2 linked regions of the Alligator mississippiensis genome follow. The protein of the gene in region 2 interacts with the protein of the main gene of each other region in a pairwise test. Links are inferred from orthologs where the notes say so. Each region holds a gene or a part of one and is shown on either strand. Other genes may lie near its edges.

Region 1 (7,118 bases), about 43 Mb from region 2:
ATCCTGCCAGCTCTCCTCAATGGACTTCTGCTCTGCTTTGGCATCGTCCTCGTCGGGCGAGCTGGTGGCTCGGTCAATCATCTGGGGGCGGGGATGGGAGAAGGAAGGTATGCAAGTGTATTGCTGCTCCTGCCAGCTATTATTATCCAAATGACTAAACCCACCTCAGCAGCTAAAGCATCCGTCCTACCAGAAACTAGTCGGTCTACAGACATTTTCCATGCTAGTGTTTATTGTAGTACTGGAGGTTTCAAGACAGAAAGCAGCAGTATTGGAGGTGTCCTCACACTCCACAAGCCTCACATCCGCTATGGAGAGAGCCTCAAAGCTTGTGGAGGGTGCAACAAAGGCTAAAATCCTCCAGGATTCATTGGTACTGTTCTCAAAATGCCTCAGATTGGGATTCATGCTTGTCTCCATGGATCAGCTCTGCTGCCTTAAGAAAGTCACAGAGTTTGCTAGGTCTTATTCAAGCTGTAAAGAGTAGGACTTTCCCCCACGGAGCCTCTCGTGTGTGCACAACACAGGCAACCCACTCAGACACCTGCCCTTCCTTCAAATGAAGGGCTCTGGCACCCCATATCGTCAAAGCCAGGAAGGTAGAAGGGGATGCCCAAGGATCATTGTCTCTAACAGAAAGACATATTGCCACAACAAGCAACATCTGGAGATGCTCTAGCCCCCCAGGGCTGAGCAAGATCCTCTCAATAGCTTCCCACAAAGCAATGCCCATCCCCCAGAGGGACACCCATTGGCTTTGGTGATCCTTGGCATGCCGGGACTCTACAGGCTCAGGTCAGACTGTTTGAGGGAGACCAAGAGCCGCTGGAAAGAGAATCTGACTTGCCAAACTGCCCTGAGGTCCAGAAGTTGGCATGGCAGCACAGGGTACCAAGCATGGCAGCAGCCCACAGCTCTGAACACAGCGGTGTGGTCTAGCCCAGCAGTGTTACAGCCTTGAATGGGTCACCTGCTCTGCTCCCCTGGTGTGGTGGGGGAGGTTTGGGGAAAGATGCACTGGAAGATCTCACCCCTTTGCAGCTTGGAGCCATAGCTCTCATTGCTGGTAAGAGGCAGCTACTCCCAGCCCAGGCCCAAGCCCCAGATTGACAATACCCAAGACCCGACTTGCCGATGCCATTCCAGAGGGAAGCAGCCAGCCTTACCCGTTTCACCACCAGAGTCGCAATGGCCAGCACAGCAGCACCGCTCACCCCCAGCACCAGCCTGGTGTTGGCCAAGAGGAAGTCGATGACACTGCCCAGCCCACGGTCGTCCTGCCTCTTCCCCTGCTTGTGTATAAACTCAGCCATATTCTACTCTGCAGAGAGGAGAGAAACGTGCAAGACAATGAGCTGCTGCTGAGTCCCACGGGCCTGTGGGACCATTCAAGGACACTGGCAATCACGGACATCTTCCCAATTCTTTCAAGGGGTGTGGTGAACACGTACTGCTAGACTGGACAAGTGAATAGAAGCGTGTAGGTTGCAAGCCCTGCGGGGAACAAAGCAGACCCAGAAAAGCCATCTCTGGGGCATGGACAGATCCAACACTTACCCTAGTATAACCCACTGTAGAGGACAAATGACAACTCCTTGAACTGGAATAACATCATCCAACCTGATGGAGGATGACCCCTGGAAGAGTCAAGCCAAGAGCAAGCTACACCAGTTTAGAGTTTGTCTGAGTCTGTCCACAACTAGCCATTTGCTAGAGATTTCAAACGGGCTAGCACTGAGGACCTGTAGCAGTCATCTACTGCATGGGCCACCCTGAGATAACCGCATGTCTGTCTGCTCCTGAGCCTGGTATAATGTGCTTCAGTCCATAAGTGGACATGCATTACACCTAACCTTAGGCCTGTTAGTTCCTCATACTCCCTTTCTTGGCTCTACATCATTCCACCTCCATCACCAGCCACTCCCCACCCCCCCCACACACACACTCTTCCTTCCTGCCTTCTTAGACTCAGTCTCTCCCACTCCCCTTCATGCCTCCACAACCAACATACCGTTTGCTATGACAGCCCTACTTATCAACACTACAGACACTGTAAAAAGATATATTACAACAGGAACACCAAGGCCTTCACAGGTTACTGAATCCATGCACCTGGTAGTGCAACAGCAGGAAAGGGGCACAAAGAGGAGGGCAGGGAGCAGATTCAGGCCGACCTGGACAGGTTGGATCAATGGGCAGAGAGAAATAGGATGCAATTTAATAAAGATAAATGTAAGGTACTCCACCTGGGAAGGAGGAACCCCCGGCACACCTATAGGTTGGGGAGTGTCCTTCTCAGCAGCTGGGAGGCAGAGAGGGATCTTGGAGTCATAATTGACTCCAAGTGTAACGAGGCCATCAACAAGGCCAATTGCACCTTGTCTTGCATTAGCAGGTGCATGACTAATAGATCAAAGGAGGTGATGCTCCTCCTCTATGCGACACTGGTCAGGCCGCAGTTGGAGTACTGTGTCCAGTTTTGGGCGCCGCACTTCAAGAGGGACACGGGGAATCTCGAGAGGGTCCAAAGGAGGGCCACTCGCATGATTAGTGGCCTTCGGGAAAGACCCTGGGGGGGAGGTTGAGAGAGCCGAATCTCTTCAGCCTTCACAAGAGACGGCTGAGGGGAGATCTTGTGGCCGCCTATAAATTTATTAGGGGAGGTCAACGGGGAATAGGTGATGCACTGTTTACTAGGGCACCCCAGGGACTGACTAGGAATAACAGGTGTAAACTAGTTGAGAGTGGATTTAGGTTAGATATTAGGAAGAAATTTTTCACAGTAAAGGTGGCCAGGATCTCCAAGAGAGGTGGTGCCATCACCTAGCTTGGAAGGCTTCAAGAGGAGGCTAGATAGTCATCTGGATGGGGCCATCTGACCTCGGTCCTCTTTCCTGCCTGGACAGGGGGTCGGACACGATGATCCATTGTGGTCTCTTCCGACTCTGCAATCTATGAAAGATACATCTTCCTCAGTTCTCTAAGGAAAGAGAGGTATCTAGTGCAACCGGATTTTCAGACTCTCATTGCTGCGAATTAACTGAATTCAAGACAGGGTTCAGCTCCAGCTCTCAGATAAGAGCTTGGCCTGTCTGTGGTAGTAAAGTGGGATGTCGGGAGTCCAGGCTCCAACATAGCCCAGGCACTTGTGAGTCAGTGGGACAAGTCACAGCCCTTGCGAGCACTTCCTTGTTTTGCAGAAGAGACAAACATGCAATAGTCCGGGGAAGGTGGAATATTTATGAACTGTAGACAAGGTGCTGGGTAAATACGGAGTATCATTAGCCATCAACAACCACAGCGTACACGGCCTTCCTTTAAGATCGGTGTGGAGATTGTGAAACTTCAATGCGGGGCAAGGTCCGTTCCAGATCATTTGTGTAGGCATCTTACTTCCTGCAGCCAGCAAAGCAAGCCAGGCCCCGGGCTCTACAGGCAGCATCAAGTGGCAGTTTGTTCTAACCCCCAAAGCCCCTTCTCCACGGCAGTCCTCTCCTTTCCCAGTTGTAGGGGCAGAGCACAGCGTTTCTACCCCCCAGCCCAGAGCCACTTCAGGTCCCTCTGCGAATGTCACAGCTCGAGCCCCGACAGGGTTGGAAACCTTAGGAATGACTCACAGATGCAGCATGGGAGTCACCCCCCAAATATGACTCCGCTTTGCTTGCAAGCAATGTCGCCATGGGAAGAGAAAAGCTGCAAACAACAGTGGAGGTGGGGATTAGAGGGTATTAGGAGCTCAGTGCCAGATTCCTGTTGGTTTGGGGCAGTTTGCCTATTATAGCCAAGACAGGTGCCCTGGTACCATGTACGCCTTGCAGCTAAGCAGCAACCCAGCGCCGAGCAGGCCTGTGCTGGGTGCATCTCTGAAACAGCCTGGAAGCTGGAACGCACAGCAGCGGAAAGCTCGTGAGGCCCCAGAAGGGCAAAAACACTAGATCCCAGGATCAACAGGGCTCTGAAAAGCTATCACTCCTTGAGGTGTGCTCATTAAGGGACAGAAACTAGCCCCTTCCAGGACGGGTCTCTTATACGAGCGGACGCCCCGACCAGGATGGTGCTGCGGCATGTGTTCACAGCAGTGCCCTGCACCAGGCCCAGGGCCTCCCCCGACTGCAGGAAGGAGGCTCGACCCCAGGCCGGGCACAGCCGCACGGACTGATGTTTCCATGCAGAGCAAGCCAGCGGGCAGGGCAGGAGCAGGCGGGGGAGGCCGACCGGCTCAGGGAAGCAAGAAGCAACTGCTTCCCCCCATTTCCGCTCCGAGCAGGGGCAGTACTGGAGCTCCCTCCTTCCCCGCCTGACCTCAGCTCCGGGCCGGAGCGGAGGGGACGCGGAGCCCAGTCCCGCCCGGGGAAGGGAAGGGACGGGACGGCCTCCCCACTGAAGACCAAGGGCTCAGCCCAACCCTCGAGTCACCATCCCCACCCGCGGGCCGCCCCGGCCGCACTCACCTTCCCTCTGAGCCCCGGCAGGGCCCGTCCACGGGACAAACCAGCACCTCCACAGCACGACCCCGGCGCTGGCAACAATGTAGCGGCGGCAGCCAATGAGCGAGCGCGGCCGCGTTGCAACGTTCCGGAATGGAACGTGCGTCACAAAGGGGGCAGGAACCCGGCGGCTCCTGGCCTTAAAGCCGCAGCGCCCCTATTTCAGCGGGAGGAGCGGCGCGGGTTGCTCGCTGTGCTCGGCGCTGTCTGGCGGCGGATCGGGATCGGGGTCGGGATCTCGCCCCTCCAGCCCCGGCGCGGAACGAAAGCCTCCAGCCCCGGCGCGCGGGTCCGCACCGAGACGCGGCGGCGAAGGGGTTAAGGGCGGGCGGGCCCCGCTTCCTGCGGGCGACGGCTGTCGCGGGCCGGCGGAGCCATGGCGGCCACGGGCGTGCTCCCCTTCATCCGCGGCGTGGATCTCAGCGGCAACGACTTCAAGGTACCGCGGCGCTCATCCTCCCTCGCGGCTGCCCTGCCTGCCATCGAGGGCCGAGCCCAGCCGGTGCCCGTCACGGTGCGATGAGCAGGCCGGCGGGGGAGGACCCACCCGGGTGCTATATTTGGGTGCCGGAGGGTGAGGTCAGGCCGGACTCTCCCCTGGCTCGTCCCCCTGCGCAGCTGGTGCCTCCCCGGCCAAGGGAGCGGGGCGAGACCCAGGTCCCACAGCAGTGCCACCGCGCTGGGGTCTGCGGGGGTGGGTGCAGGGTGGCTGTGCCCTGCAGCTGCTGGGACTGGGGGCCTCGGGCTGTCCCCGCCACACCCGCAGACCTGGTCCGGACGGGGAGCGGAAGGGTTGGGATGGGCCACCGTGCCACCCTGCCACCCCCACCTCTCCTTCTGGGGCGTCCGGAGGCGGGCGAGTCTCTTCCATCTGAAAAGCCATCTCCCTTGTGACCCTGGAGGGTGTGCAGGCCTGGCTGTGTCCTTTGCCATCCCGGATGGGGCTGGCCGTTCTCCTGGGATGCATTTTTGGGGCCGGCATCATCTCTGGGACGAGTTTCATATGACTTTTGCCTCTTCCCGGACTGAGTGCTGCTGTGCTGGGTGTCGCTTCCCCATGATTATCCTCCTTGGGCACGCAGCACCCAGTGGGAGGGTGTACGTGGCTCCTGGTCCGTCCTGCTGTCTCCTGGGGGCACACGGAGCAGTGCTGGGGTGGGCAGGAGGAACCGGGATGGATGCTTTGTGTAGGGCACTGGACTCACCTGCGTGCCCCCTCCCAGTCCTGTGTCTCCGGGAGCTGCAGGCCGTGCCCCAGCAGCTGAGAGCCCTAGAAGGGAAGGCAGCTACTGCCAGACCTGGGCTGCTTAGCTGGGCAGGATGACGCACGGCTCTGCTGGTTCAAGGCACAGGGAGCCCTGCTTCTGTGGCCGACAAGGCCCCGTGCACAGGTGGAGCTGCCTGCAGCCTTGTCTATGTGGGCAAGACCCCTGGTCAGCCTCACAACAGCGAGAGGGCCGGGTTGGGGCACTCACCTTCATGCAGGAGGCTATCCTGGGCAGACGAGGGATCTGGGACCCACTCCTCTGCCACAAATGCTTCCTCGCATCTCTCCCAGGGCGGCTATTTCCCAGAGCACGTGAAATGTATGACCAGCCTGCGATGGCTGAAGCTGAACCGCACGGGCCTGTGCTACCTCCCGGAGGAGCTCTCTGCACTCCAGAAGCTGGTAAGGACGGTGCCTGGATGCCGGGCACGCTCCCACAGGGTGGCTCCCCTTAGGGCTGGCGGTGCAGGGAGCTTCGAGTAAGGACAGGAGCTTGAGACACGGGCATTTGAGAGCCAAGGCATGGGCCTGGCAGAAGGTGAGTGGGAAGGCAGGTGGGAGGCAGTGGGGGCTGCCCGATCAGTGTCCTGGCATGTGCACACACGTGTGCACAACCGCCCCTTTGCTTTCCAGTGTCAGCTGAGAGGGGGGCCACCCAGCCAAGTTGGGCCCCTGGCACTGACACAGCTCACCCAGCTGGTGCCTGGGGCAGCACCATAAGGCTGGCAAAAGGGCTGGCCAGGAGGAGCCAGCACCTGCTCCTATGCTGATGGCAGGATCTGACCCCAGCTGCAGCTGCAGCTGTGAAAGGTGCCTGGGACCTGACCCAGGCTCACCGGAGCATGTGGGTTGACTTTCGAGGGGGCTTCTTCGGAGCTGATGGTGTGCAAGTCTCACTGTGTCCCTGGCTCTTCTCACTGCCTCTCTGGCTTCCACACAGGAGCACCTGTCTGTGAGCCACAACAGCCTGACCACACTGCATGGAGAGCTCTCTGGCCTCCCCTGCCTTCGGGTAAGTGCCCTTTGTGCCCCAACGCCCCCCGTGCAGGCGCTAGGGGCTTGGTGTCCAGCTACGTGGGCAGCCTCACCTTCGGCCATGCACAAGCCCCTTCAGCACAGCCAGGACTAGGGAGCTCGCTGGCCTGGTCTGCAGTGACATCCAGCAGGTGCCACGCAGCAGGGAAAGGTGGAGCTGAGTGTCCCAGGCCCCCGGCTGGGCTGAGGCTGGACCAGGCCACTGTGCCCACGTGCGGTGCTGTCTTGGATCGGTTCCCTGCTGGAGAAGCTGAATCCCTCGCTCCATGAAGATGCTTGTGGGGGCGTAGGGCTATAATCCTCAGCCCTCACCTTTCTTGGCATCTTGC
Region 2 (7,118 bases):
CCTTGTTCCCGTACAAACACAAAAGGGCTCAACTCTCACGGGAAAGGGACTCAAGTGAACCTGTCTCTAAGTTCTTCACCTCCGGCAGACAATTCTTCCTTGGAATCATCTGGCTGCCTTGGCCAGCTGGATTCTGATCTGTGGGGGACAAGTTAGCTCACGAAAAAAGCAGGCCAAGCAAGCCTACTGTAAGCGTACTGTGAATGACCTTCCCTGCCACTGGAAGCCACCCTGCTCCTCTCCCATGCTGCCTTATCCACCTCGATTTGTGAGCTGCCTTACCAAAAGTGACAGGGGTGTAGGTTGTAGCTGTGTTGGTCTAAAGACACAGGCAGACAAAGTTGTTTGGGTAAATCTGATATCTTTTATAAGACCAACTTAAATAGTTGGAAAATAATTTTTTTAGCAAGCTTTTGGGTTTAAAAACCCTTTGTCAGGCTGAGGAAGCCTCTGCAGTTAGTGTGTGCTCTTCCTGGATGGAATGAATAGTAAAGAAGCCAGAGGCTGGGCTGGCCTGCATGCAAGACAGGCAGTTAGTGAAGATGTAAATTGAGGAGTCAGTGGGTGAGAGAGGCAGGGGAAGTGGGGGATGAATGTAATTTTTTTTTCAACTATTTAAGTTGGTCTAATAAAAGATATCAGATTCACCCAAAGAACCTTGTCTGCCTATTACCCAAAGTGAGACGCTGCAAACTGTGGAGAGATTAGAAGGCATGTAGCTGATTTTAAGCAAACTCAGCATTGTTAACTGTTTAGATTCAGGACAATGACAGTGCAAGCCTTCATATCCTGTTTTGGGCTGATCCGTTCAGGTCACAAGGGAGACTTTTCAGCTGAGAGCATGCACCATGTTGGCCCCAACAACACAGGGCCACGTGCTCTCTCATGACAGCCTGGGTGCCCCCACCCCCCGAGCAGCTCAGAGGCTGGGACTTCTCTGAGTTGGCTGAGCAGCAGGAAACACAGCAATGCTACAACTGCCTTTCTGAGCCACCCTTCTCCCTTGCTGCCCCCAAACCTCCAACCCAAGGAGTTTTAAGCCAGCAGAAGGGCAGAGGGGAGACATCTCACTCCTCCAAGCTCAGCCCAGCCTGAGACGAGACCTGGCCAGTGGCCTTCCCAAACTGAGGTGTCAGCAACATCTTATCTTAGTTGCTGCAGAGACCGGAATTGGCACAAGAACAACTCCTATATCACTGCTGACCCAACTCACACAAGGACATCCTGACCGTGATTCCTTGGTCTCACAGCACCTGGCATGGCCCCAGGTCGAGAGAAGACAGAAAGCAGAGATGAAATGCTGTATAAGGATGACAGGAGAGGGGGGAAGGCTTCCTTGGAGAGGGCGCAGGGACAGCAGTCAAGCAAGGACATGCAGAACCAGTGGCTGGACAACACTTGATGCAGCGTTCCTGCCCAGTCCACAACCCCACGTAGCTTTGCCCTGAAACGTAAGGGGCACTCGGCGGTTCCAGCCAGGGGCCCTCTCCTCGCGACTCCACCAAGACACCATGAGCATGGGGACTCTGCACCCGCACCCCCTGGCAGGCCCATGCAGGGATTTTGTGTCTATAGCAGTCTGCCACCAGAGCAGCACACACCCACAGACAACGGGCACCGGGAGGCATCTATTCCACATCTTGACTGTTTGGAAAAACGAAGCTCCATGCTCTTTTGCTGGGGTGTACTGAAAGCAGTGATGCAACCTTTAAACCAGCAGAATGCAAAAGCTGCTGCCATGTACGCAGCTCGGTGAGGAGCAAGGCTATTATGGCCAAAGGGTCCGCTCCTTGAAATCCTTGTAGGTGCCCTCTCCTGAGGGCCTTCTTTATTGCAAATTCCCAGTGCTTCACCTCAAAGCAGGGGAATAAGACATCCTCCCCACTGAGGCTCTGACAATGTAGCATATTGCAAGCACCAGCATCCTCTATAGCAACACATTTCCATGGCAACAGCACCCTTGAGCACTGAATGACCAGCCCCAAACTGGTGAGCTGCTGTCTGGAGTGCTGAGGGCGGCAGACTTCCAGATGGCAATGGGCCTGTGCTTCTCCACATGAAGGGGGACCCACAGGCAGCTGTGCCCCTGATGTGGCTTGGGGTTGCTCTTCTTGCAAACACATCAGCCAATGATCTGCTACAGCTGTTGCCCATCCGCAGTCTGCACTGCCATCCGTTCCTATTAGGTAGTGTGAGCTCCCCTGAGCAGAGAATTGGAGCTCCACAGAGTAAAACCAATCCAGGAAAAGTTCATCTAGTGGCTAATCCACTTTCAGACCTTCACCCAGCTCAGGGGAGCAGCACTGGCACCCACAGTCGCCCACTCTTGCAATGGCAAACATAGCTGCAGTAGCCTCTGCATATTAAGGACTGCTAGGGTTGTGGGGCGCAGCAGCATCCCCTGCACGCTGACTGCCAGCAGTTCAAACACGACGCTAGCTTGCAAAACTGCACGGGAAGCAAGAGAGGGGGAACAGCAACCCTGGGTGTTTGCCAGTCCCAACAGCAACACACAAGGAACAACCCTGCGTGCAGAGAGCCTGGTCGCCTGTGGCACCTACCCAGGATGCTGCGCAACCGGCACCAAGCAGCTGAGCTGATCCAAAAGGAATTGGGCGCGTGAGGTGAGGCGGCACAATTGTTTTGGAGTTACTCTGCAAAAACACCTCCACAAACGCAGACAACCCTCATGCGGAGCTCCAGCCCCCCAGCCAGGTGCCTGGACGCCAGACAAACTCAGTCAGAAGCCAGTTCAAGAGCACTCAAGCCTTTTTTTCATCTCCCCTCTCCTAGGAAGGACACGCTTCTCACTAAGGTGTTGATTCGCACTTACACTTGAGGGAGCCTCTTTTTCTGCACAGCCCTGGCCCGCAGCTTTTCAGCAGGGGCTTCAAACCCTGCAGGTTAAAAAATATCACACGCACCAAGGTTTAGTGATCAAAATCTAGCGGGGCATGGTGACCTTCCTCAGAGACAAGCCTTGCCCAGCACCACCCTATCTGAAAACTTGGCAAAGGTTGAGCTTGGCAAAGGGCAGCTCTGTTAGGAAGCAAAACAAACCATCCGCTGCGTCTCACAGCCTCCAGGCTCTTAACGCCGGGCCTGAAAGTAGCATCTGTGGCAGGACTAGGTTAATAACTAACAGGGTTCATGTTGCAAGAATGCATTTGAAATGCTGCCTGTTCCCCCCCGGTAGGAAGTTTGCCTGTTTCCTGATGTTCTGCAGCGCAGGGGCAGAAACACGCACGTGACAGAAGCGTGACAAGCGTTTCAGGAAGTCCCTGGCTCCCGCGCTCGCCCCCCAGCACCCAGGGCCCCAGCACCCCACTCATCGCTGAGCATCAGGGGTGCAGGGGGAGGAGGCCTGGACCGCAGCCAAGAGTCCTGCAAGCACCAAGGGCCTGAAGAAGAAAGCAAGTCTGAAGGCTGGACTGTGTGAAACCACTGCGCTCCTCCTGCCCTGTCCTCATCTCCACTTGCGCCCACCGCTGCCCCCCACCCTCCGCAGGGAGGACCTCCCGTGGCAGCCGCAGGGAGCGGCGCCGGAGGGGTGAAGTCCGGGCTGGAAGCAGGCGGCGCTCTCCGCTCGCTCGCCCGCCCGCCCGCCGGGAGGTGCCGTCCCGTCCCGTCCCCCCTCGCCCTGCCCTCGCCCGCACCTTGAGGTTCACAGCGGGGACCTCCATGCTGCCGCGCGGGGACCCTCCGCCTCCCGACTCGGGGCGGCTCCGCCCGCCGCCCGCGCCGCCCCGTGACTCCCCGCGTGGGGCCGCCCGCTTCTCCCGCCCCTCTACAGCCGGCCTGCAGAGAGAGGCCCCGGGGAGGTGGCAGCCGGCCCCCCCCGGGGGTAGGGGAGATGGCCAACAGCCAGTGCCTGAGGGTGCCCCACGCTGGCTGTCACCCACCCACAGCCTGCGCTTCATTCATGTGCCACCCCAGGAGGGACACCAGCAGCACCCACCCCACCCATGCAGGAGCCACAGCCGCAGAGCTCTGGTGGGGAAAGGCAACCAGGACACACTTCAAGGGGCAGCCGGCACTTTCGCACCCTGGCCACAGCTGTGCGGGGCTCTGCACACCTGCAGTCGCTGGTGGATCGGTCCCTTTTGGTAACAGGAGCAGCGTGTGCTTTCACTGGGAACGGGGAGAGGTTCCAGGACAGGCCCCGTGGAGGCTGCGTGTGTGCATACTCATGTTTCCCATGTGACTGCGCATCCTTCTACCTTTGTGTGTTTTAGGCCGCAAGCCTAATACTTACCTGGCAGAGGAAACGCTGTGTATCTGGTCCAGGAAGGCAGTTTTCCTTAAGTATTCCCCGAGAGAACTGTTCTTCTGGCGTGGTTTTGTACCCACGAGGTGTTGGGGCTTAATGCCCACTTTATGGAAATGGGAGGCTGCTCCCTACCTTGCTGCTGCGGCCATATGGCTGCGGGCAGGCAAAACTTGGGGGCATCCGAACGCCAGGCCTCCGGGCTTGGGCCTGCACATAGGGTGATAGCCAAAAGACTTTGGAAATATCTGAAGCTCCAGGCGGGGTGGAGGATGTTTGCTGGGTGTAGGGCCACTTACAGTTCTGGACTGACTCACAGATTTGGACTTGATTTGGCTTGGAACATGAAAAATTTCTTTTAAAAAAACTGTTTTAGGCCACAAGCCATCTGGATCCTAAATCCCCTTTGCTAGAGAAATACCTCTTGTGAAGAGATGAGAAAGCTCATGCCACACCTAGGGTGCCCATTATAGAGGACACTCTGAAATGAATTTCAGCTGCTTTCAAATTTGTTTTCTGCTACTCTGTCCTCTATTGATATGAAACTGGACACCTTTGTCCTCTATTTTTCTCTTGAAGACTGGCAACCAGACTGTCCTCTATGATGGCCACCCTAGCCACACCCCTTCCCAGCCCTCCCACAGTGAGACCATTTCACAGCTTTCAGCAAGGCATGGGGGAAACAGGAATGAATCCATCCCCCACTGTGAAAGAGGTTCATAGCAGACAGCTAGGCAGGGATCAGAGTTCCCAGTGTCCCACTCACTTAGCCTATGGTCTGACTTCTGGACTGGATTTCACCCTGAGTCATTTTAGAGAGAATATAAAGGATCAAAGAGCATCATCTTCCTCACCTGACTTTCCTTGTCCTGCAGACACTTAACTCACCTGCCTCTGCAGACGGAAATGCTTTAATTGAATCAGCTGCTCCTTGCAATCCCATTTCACAGCAGAGATGAAGCCTCTGAGAAATAAGAGTCCCGAGTTCCAACGGAAGCAGAATGGGAAGTGGATGAGTCATATCGTAATCTGGTTTACTGTTGAAGTGTTGCAATGCAAGGCTATGCAGGAAGCACTGGGGAATCCAGGACAATAGTTAATTTAGAACCAATGATCTTCCCAGCAGACACAATTTTTGCCCTACTTGACCTGCCTGTCATTGCATCTATAGTCCCCCTGGTTGCTGAAGTCATTGTGTTTTGGGATCTAGAAAATGCTAATCAAATGCCAAAGTGAAGTGACCTGTTATTTATAAGGTGCTAGTCTACTAAATGCCACACAGAGAACTGAGATCATAAACAGCAGAGCCAGCAAGTGAGAAGAGGGCTCAGCACAGGGCAAGTTTACTTGAGAAATGTATTGCTACTGCTGTTTAGTTACACCTGGACTCTTACAAGGCAGGATCTGTGATAGCCCCAGAAGATCCCCAACCAGCAATAATTTCATAGACATTAGGGCTGGAAGGGACCTCGGAAGATCATCGAGTCCAGCCCCCTGCCCAAATGATGATGATAATGAGCTAACCTAGCTGCACAAGTCCTCTGAGCAAGCTCCTATTGTACCAGTTTTCCCCAGAAGAGGTAGAAAATGTCTCCCTTGTTGGTACGTTCCACTTGGGTGATAAGCTGCTTCTCACTTCCCCATTTCCTACAGAGCCTCGGTCTACCCACAGAAACAGATGGCCAAGACTTTCAGAAGCAGCTGCTGATTTCAGACACTCAGCATGACACAGCTTGAACGGCCGGATCTGATCTCCCACGGTTCTGAGAACCCATCTCCTGGGAATCCGGGCCGTCAAATGGTGAAGATGAAGTCCCAGGATGGAAGCAGCAGACACTTCACCTGCTAGTCACCCGGTATAGACAGACTCATATTGGAAGTTTTCTCTTGTCCCTTGCAGGGCTTTGGCCCAGGTTGAAAGCATGATTCAGTAGAAATGCTCAGGTGATTATGGCTATTTGCACGTCTGATCCCTTTACCAACCAGAGACTAAATAACTGATTTATTGTGGCAACACCTGGGGAATCACAGCATTGGGGAAAGGACAGTATCAATTTAGAGACACATTCCTGCTGCAGTCTGGTCATGTTGAATCTGAGGATCATATCACTGTTTGCATACAGCGAGACTTATGACTCTTGATTCCTTCTGAGACTTTCGCTTGGTGCAGATTGAGACCGAAGTCATCCCTCATACAGCAAGCACCACAATTTGGATTGATGTAATTGCTGTTTAATGCATGGCCTCTTTCCATAATACAGCACTTTTCTTCTCCTTTGTTCTTCAGTGTGTCGTGCAATTAGTTCACCCCTGATTATTACATCCTGAGCTTGCATGTCACGGACTCAAGGGATTTGGAAATGACTTAATGATCTCACGGTGATGAAAACAACACGAGCCATTGCACACATTATGCATCTGCACGTCTCAGGCATGTCAGTCCTATTTTTTCTCTCTGCTTCTCTTTGCTTGTACCCTGTAAATTGCCTTACCACGTAACTGTGTTGCAGCCTCTGTGGCTGCCTTCTGCTCAATCCTGGGATGTGATATAACTAAAGGACACAAACACAGCATAAGAGATAAGCAAGAGGTTCAGGAAACCAGGCTCCTGCGAGAACTGGAAGGCAGCGGGGAGCAGGTTGGAGAACTCTTATAACTAGCTGGCTGATTCAGAGCAGCTCAGCTGTGACCAAATAGCAGGCAACGGGGTGGTCTGTGCTAAGTATCTTGGTCAGGGCCGGACACAGGCATGAGCAAACCGGGCAGCTGCCCAGGGCCCAGACAGAAAGGGGGCCCAAAAATGGTGAAAATAATGATTATTATTATTATCTCTGATAAAGGGGGGCCCGAT

The links. The genes of interacting proteins can lie anywhere in the genome.
Region 1: the proteins of AGTRAP (region 2) and MIEF2 interact in binary tests that used the Homo sapiens proteins (3 or more experiments, as listed by UniProt). The two-hybrid records come from large-scale screens. The link is inferred for Alligator mississippiensis from reciprocal best matches to the Homo sapiens genes AGTRAP and MIEF2.

The regions. Positions count from the first base shown.
Region 1 is NC_081836.1:55,064,315-55,071,432, reverse strand, and holds the start of MIEF2 (mitochondrial dynamics protein MID49), read right to left. Parts: upstream 4,565-7,118; 5' UTR 4,452-4,564; intron 4,408-4,451; exon of another isoform or gene 2,824-4,407; intron 1,322-2,823; 5' UTR 1,314-1,321; coding exon 1,167-1,313; intron 82-1,166; coding exon 1-81. Other genes in the region: FLII (protein flightless-1 homolog), read left to right, coding at 4,864-4,926, 6,046-6,156, 6,695-6,766. UniProt on the Homo sapiens protein: Mitochondrial outer membrane protein involved in the regulation of mitochondrial organization.
Region 2 is NC_081836.1:12,388,123-12,395,240, reverse strand, and holds the start of AGTRAP (type-1 angiotensin II receptor-associated protein), read right to left. Parts: upstream 3,741-7,118; 5' UTR 3,684-3,740; coding exon 3,657-3,683; intron 1-3,656. UniProt on the Homo sapiens protein: Appears to be a negative regulator of type-1 angiotensin II receptor-mediated signaling by regulating receptor internalization as well as mechanism of receptor desensitization such as phosphorylation.